2 linked regions of the Drosophila melanogaster genome follow. The protein of the gene in region 1 interacts with the protein of each later gene in a pairwise test. Each region holds a gene or a part of one and is shown in the gene's direction. Other genes may lie near its edges. The genes, in order: CG12477 and CG4270.

Region 1 (3,746 bases):
GGGTAATATTGCCAGCAACAAGTACATTTAATTACACACACGAAAGTTTACGTCTTTTTTTACACACTCCTCTCCCGCCCAGCAAAACTTCTCTAACTCAAGTCAACTTTTTATATTTCCTTGGCGTTGGCAAAAATTTTATTTGCCAATTTGCTCTGCTCTTGATTCTGTACTTCAGTGCTACCCCAACCCCACCCCCCTCACATTTGTCATCCACCTCCTTTCAGTCACTCTCCTTCACATTTGCAATACGAAACAACACTCGCGTGACCCAGGGCAAATTTAATTTGAATGAAGCAGCATCAGCAGTGAGCACATTACGCATACGCCGCGTTGTACGCAGTTGTCTCACAGCAGCTGTTACTCCGCGTGGTGGCAACTTGGCATGCAGGCATTTTAGCCAAACGCAGGCGAATAATAATAACAATATCATGCTTTGTCTGAGTAGCGCCTTCTGAAATTTTAATGACTAAATGTCACATTAACAGCCGAAATGGATTTCCACGACACGACAGTGCTGAGAAATGTGGCTCCTGCGAGCGAAGCGGAACCAAGCGGATACAATACCTGGATACACTCTGAAAATTGAGGATATATATGTATATTCAAAGGGATCCTTAAACGAATCTTCTTTAAGGAATTTCTCCTAGCTATTTCAAGTCATATCATAATTGTTATAGTTTTTAGTTCACTTGCTAATAGGTTCGCAGAATGAAAAAATATTGGGGTTTAAATTCAATTAAGATTTATAAAAACAGTTGCTTTCAATTTATTTTTTTTTTTTTGTCATCAATTTGTCGTGCTATTGCTGGTGTTGCAACCGCTGGCAGCTCCTCCGCGTGTCATGTGGCATCATCTCCACCTGGTGGATCTGCTCCACTGTTCATTTACCTCAGTCCATCAGACAAAGCTTATTTCGCGCTCGACTGCTTGACTCGGCTCGGGCCAACGCAGCAAACTGGCTGACTGAGTGAATGACTGAATGAGTCAGCGAGTGACTCTCGACTCCATCTGCCCACAGCGAGAATATGTATACGTAACTGTGCCTTTATTATACTTTCACCTCCATCGCCTTTGCCTCGCACACATATGAGCAATCAACTTGGTGCTGCACGTAGCAAGGTAAATCTGGAACATAACTGCGGGTAATGACGGGGGGCGATTCGGAAGGATGCGAGGATTGGCACAGAGGCGTCCTCCTGCAGCGTTTGATTTCAATTTGATTGAAATTGTTTGTTCGCTGATATTTTAAGCTGATTATATGCAGAGCATGCTTTGTGCGATTTCACTTGTTAACTGACTACTAACAGAACATCGGTGGAAATCTACGATACATTTAATTGCACTCTTACATATATACTATTATTGAAATTTTGAACAACTTTTGTGATAAACAAAAGACGCTACTAATACATACAAAGTACATAATTCTGCTTAATCGAAGCAAATGCTGTAGCAAGCAGAACACGAATGTCTTAGCAAGCAGTAAAGCGACTGCTTTAAAGATTATCCATAGGGGTTCCCAGAATCTGAATGCGTAATTATCTTTCAGATCTTAAAGAGCTCAATATATGAAAAGCACGCTATGAAAAATTGTTTAATCTCCGCTAAAAAATAATTCGAACATTAAAAGATGCGTGGAGCTTGGTGTTGCCACTTACAATGTAGATTATAGAGTTACCAGATTAGATTCAGCTTTTAAGCTGAAATCATGCCAGCGAAACAAGTAAGTAGCTAAGTAGCTTGGTGCCAAACAATTAGGAAAATAGGCTAAGGATACAACATACTCTGGTCACACTATAGAAAGAAAAAATCGCCAGTCATACCATGTGTGTGAAAGAACAAAGTTGAATTTTCTGATTGTACTCGGCATTAAAGATTGTTCGACTTAAAAAAAAAAAAACCAATCCAATAGAGCAGGTAATTGTCCGCACCTTTCAGTGATTCAGTAAAAAACATCTTGCAATCATCGCAGCAAAAAATGAGTACAGTCGCAAGCAACGATCAGCACGTGGACACCGGCGTATTGCCGGTGCCCAGCACGAACAGCCCTAGCTCCCAGATCGAGCAGAAGGGCAATGAAGCAATCGTGCCCAACTACAAGGCTGCTACTGCCGGCGAGCAGGGCGAGGCACAGGCTGGAGCTACCTGCACTACAGTCGCTGTTCGTCCGTCAGGTGTTGCCACCTCTGCCGACATAGTGAAAGGGTCATCATCTGTGAGCAGCCACGTGCAGCCGTCATGGCGGAGCTCCTTCGCCAGGTCCCAGGACAAGAAGTGCGGCATTTGCTTCGAGACGATCATGGAGAAGGAGGGAGGAGATAAGCGTTTCGGCATCCTGCCCAGCTGCAACCACGTGTTCTGCTTCCAGTGCATTTGCACATGGCGTCATGCCACACAGTATGCCTATCAAGTGACGCGAGCTTGCCCCGAATGTCGCGTGTGGTCTAACTTTGTATGTCCCAGTGCATTTTGGGTGGAGGAAAAGGTGGCGAAGGACCAGCTCATCAATGATCACCTCGCCGCTATGCGTGCAAGGGACTGCAAGTACTTTAAACAAGGACAAGGCGTGTGCCTCTTTGGCAACAAGTGTTTTTACAAGCACTCTATACCCAACGCAGATTACGTCGATGTGGGATTGCCGACCCATGCTCTAGGGCTACCGATTCCATCAGATTTTTCGGGACTTGGCAATTGTCTTATTTTGGTTCCTTTCCCGAATATGTTTTTTGATGATTTCAGCAATTCCGACGACTACGATTTCTCGGACGTAAACTAGTCTGACGAAACGGGAGGAGATGAGAAAAAAACCAAGTTAATAATCCACGAAATGAAGCGATGTATTGTATGTAGCTGCCAAATTTTGCTTACAGAACAATCATTCACCACTTAATTCCAAGAAATTTGGGACACTTTTTGCATGCATTAAATTTTGACTTGCATTAAATTTCATTCACAAGTGGCTTATCCTTAAACTGAACTGAACTGAATATGAGTATCAATAGCTTTAAATGCGCTAAGCAGTGAAAATTACATTTTGAAAATAGGTGCTGGTCTGGAATTTACAACTGATAACCTGCAAGCCTGCAGGCATTTAATATCAAAAAATCAATGTATTAACCTAGCAGTAACTTATCCCTTTTGGAGAATTTTCCTTTTCAAAATGAATCTCTATGAAATGTATTTTTATACAATTAAATAAAGGGGACTAAAATGAAAACTTTGTTTCTTTATCTTTATCGTGGTCACCCCGCACTTCGAACACTTTCCACACCTGAAACGAACATTGCTCACTTTTCCACTTGGCCATGTGCTCATTATCTAGCCAACCGCAATACGTGGAAAACACGGCGAGCCCCATTAGCAATCGTTATCTTCAGAGATGGCCAGGAGAATTCCCATTAACTGCATTTCAGTGAAATGTCAACTGGATTTTTCTCGTACCAGTTTTCCGCTTGGCTCGTCGCTGATGTGTTTCAGTTGCTTTATATGTATTTATTTTTGTTTTTGCCCGTGAGTATCCTTTTTGGCTGAAAGGATTATCCGAGCTGCTGCTGACGTCCTTCTGCCGCATAAGTTGTGCAAATATATACACATGCAATGACTTACATCTGATTTAATATGATAATTGGAAAGTGAGTCCGTAGATAAAGCAAGCCAGCCCCCATGCACTCGGCTTTCCCCCACCAAGTGCCACCTTGAATGTCGCTTTAAATGCCTCGTCCGTCTAACTGGATGACTGACTG
Region 2 (3,245 bases), on another chromosome or scaffold:
GGTGGGCGGTAAGTGGAAAAGCGGAAAAGCTATTCATTAACCTTTGGCACTTTGTTAATGGATTTAAAGAGTAAGTGATACTAAAAGGTGTGGAATGTGAAGCTTATAACATTTGAAATCGTTGGGAATACTTAAGCTTAACGACATTGGAATACGCATGCTACCAATGAAATCTGCTGGAATACAAGAATACATTTATTGGCTGCAGTTGAGATTGTTTGGCTTCAAATTCAGAATGAACTTTTTAAATTGTGCATTCATTTTTTGTGCGGTACTTACCCTATGCCAAAACATGACCAATTCGAATCAATGGGAATCGGAATTAAAGGCAGTATCCGTATGTGCAACCGAGTGCATCCGGCTCCGGATGCCGTGTGGTTGATGGAAATGCGAGCCTGTTTGCCCAGATACCAGATACGATATATCAGATACCATCTATGTATATAATGCCCGCATGCTCGAAATAAGAGTGCGAGTGTATTTATTTTGCGTATGGCGCGCACTGTACCCTCCACTCGACCAGCAATGCATAAATAAACGAAACCAAATTTGCGAAATTAATTAAATCGACAGAAAAGTAACGTGTGCGCTTTGCGTTTTACGCTTTGACTGTGGCCAGCTTACAACCCAAACAATTTGGCCACCCAGCCACTGAACCACCCAATCCCCCAGCCACCCAACCACCCAACCACACATTTTCCAACTCCGATGGCACCGAAATTGTGAATTGTGCATTGTGCGGATGACGCGACTGTGCATCGCGTTTCTGACAGAGGCCATGGAAACCTGAAATGCAGCGAGCAGGCTTAAAGTTTATTACAATATTACCAGAAATTCTACCAGCGGCTTAAATGGAGCCATTTATCCATTTCGAAAATATCTTTGTCTATAGAGCAAATGAAAATAAGAAATGGAAAAGGGAGCTCCCGATTAATTGAATTGAAATTCATCCTAATCTTTGATATTGATTGAATTATATATTACCAATTAACCAAATTGGCTTTAATCTGTATTAACATTAATACTTATTTAAATTCGCGGCTTAATAAACTATTTTATCCAGCTTTAAGCTTATGGCCGAGTACTTAAGTACTTAGTACACAAATTCACATAAATCAATGAGCTGGGCCATAATTTAGTGCCTGGCACATGAGTATATCAAACGCAATGCTGTGACCCCGCATCCACCTTGCGGCGCACAGGATAATTTCAGCGAGTCAGCCTGTCCTGCGGCTGTATCCGCCTATCTGTACATCGGAGCATCGGCTTAATCTCTGCCGGGAGCAGCGACATCGGCCGGTCCATTGATTTGCATTTGCACAACTCATTAGGGATTCACACTTGAAGCACCACCCGCAGCGCAGACACACACTCACACACTTAAATAATTTAATATTCCGAGTGTTTCGACATCGAAATTTGCACTTCCATGGGCGGCGCTGCGGGCGATTGATAAGGGGCCTCCATGTCGGCCAACTCGCATTATCCAGCTCGATTCAGTCGGCAATTAATGCCACTCCAATTGCCCGATTTGCCTGCACCTACATATCCAGCCATATGGCTGGATTGCGAAAGAATCGCCGGCTCATTAATAACCAAACCCAGTGACATGCATCACTCATACGTCACGTTGGTTAATCCCATCGGCAGATGCAGAAGAAGGATGTGTGATACAGTCTGTCTAATTCCCGTCAATGGATTTGGGCACGCACACGTCCTGTGAATCCGTCACCCACAGCCTGTGTTTGCGGTATCAATCACAATGCTAATACCGATGTTTAGGCCAGATTATGAGGCGGTTTGAAAAAAGGGTTTTTCGGCTGTAAACAAAACATTGTGATTGATGGGTGAGCTATTCAGAACTCAGTGAAAATTTTAATTGACTGCCTTGTATACATGTATAATAACCACTTAATTTTGTAACTTAAAAACGAGAAATGTTGATCTAGCCAGCTAGCTTAAAAAGTCATTAGGCATACGTAAATTTGGTTAACTAAATCACGGCGCCAGCCAATCCCCCAAAGAAATATGGCGAAGAGAAACGTAGCGCCCATTCCCAAAACCCACGAGCGCCCTCCAGGTCCCAGGGGTCAGGATACCAAGGGCAACAACGAGCTCTTCCTGAAGGAGGTCTTCAATACCACCAATAAATATCGGGCAATGCACGGCTGTCCCGCGGTGACCATTAATGCTGCACTAAATAAGCTGGCTCAGGAATGGGCCAATGTAGGATGAGGGATAAAGAGTATTCTATAGTATTTTATATTAATTTGCACCCATTTCCAGCATCTCCGCGATCAGAACACAATGGCGCACAGACCCAATCCCAAGTACGGCGAAAACATTTTCCTCTCCGGTGGAATGGATGTGACCGGTGATCTGCCGGTGGAAATGTGGTATCGGGAAATCAATAGCTACGATTTCAACAAGGCGCAGTTTGTGCCCACCGCTGGACACTTTACTCAGCTCATTTGGAAGTCGTCGGTGGAAATGGGTTCGGGTGTGGCCCGAAAGTGAGTCTTATGGCTATGGCTATGGTAATCCTATTCATACATGTCTTCCAATAGAGCGGATAGAACTTGGGTGGTTTGCAACTACAATCCTCCCGGCAATGTTGTGGGTTTGTTCAAGGATAATGTGCCGCCAAAGCAATAACTCTGGGATTTTTTGATCAAAATTTTAAGCATAATAAAAGCGTAATCTAGGTCCAGTATTTGTTTGTTTTATTTACCATTTTCTATTTTAAATTGTGATGTTTCGATTTTCTAGTTTCCTTGGCATCCAAGTCCGATTTAAGTAGAAGGAATTTTCTAGGCAGGACATTTTCCCTGAAATGTTCGCTTACATTTCCAGGCGGATGGTAATTGCACACAATCCAAATGGAGGAAACACTGCGTGTAAAATGTAGTTAGTTTCGGATTATTTTTAGTATGACTTAAAATTATGAACCCACTCGCATGCCACGCCCACTCCCAGGAACTCTGACTCTCTCCAAACCAACTGGGTAAAATGTCCAGTGTACAAATTAAAGCCTGGCTTTAAGTAATCGTAGTTGTATTTTTCTTGGTACCAGAGTTTCAGTATTTGATCCACGGAGAATTTGGATCTCCGGACACGCATAATATTCTCGCCGTAAAGAGGATTAGGTCGAGTTTCCAGTTTGTTCAGATCAGCCAAATGCTGTGGAAATCAAGTTTAGGTGAAAAAGAAAGGATCTATTTATATTAAATACATCTACATACATC

Evidence for each region.
Region 2: the proteins of CG12477 (region 1) and CG4270 interact in a two-hybrid assay, tested with the Drosophila melanogaster proteins (one large-scale study listed by BioGRID).

The regions. Positions count from the first base shown.
Region 1 is NT_037436.4:18,721,363-18,725,108, reverse strand, and holds CG12477 (uncharacterized protein), read left to right. Parts: upstream 1-1,836; 5' UTR 1,837-1,920; intron 1,921-1,975; 5' UTR 1,976-1,981; coding exon 1,982-2,779; 3' UTR 2,780-3,216; downstream 3,217-3,746.
Region 2 is NT_033779.5:2,261,530-2,264,774, forward strand, and holds CG4270 (uncharacterized protein), read left to right. Parts: upstream 1-1,912; 5' UTR 1,913-2,028; coding exon 2,029-2,226; intron 2,227-2,286; coding exon 2,287-2,513; coding exon of another isoform or gene 2,514-2,517; exon of another isoform or gene 2,518-2,556; intron 2,557-2,567; coding exon 2,568-2,655; 3' UTR 2,656-2,712; downstream 2,713-3,245. Other genes in the region: CG34049 (uncharacterized protein), read right to left, coding at 2,738-2,891, 2,954-3,180, 3,243-3,245.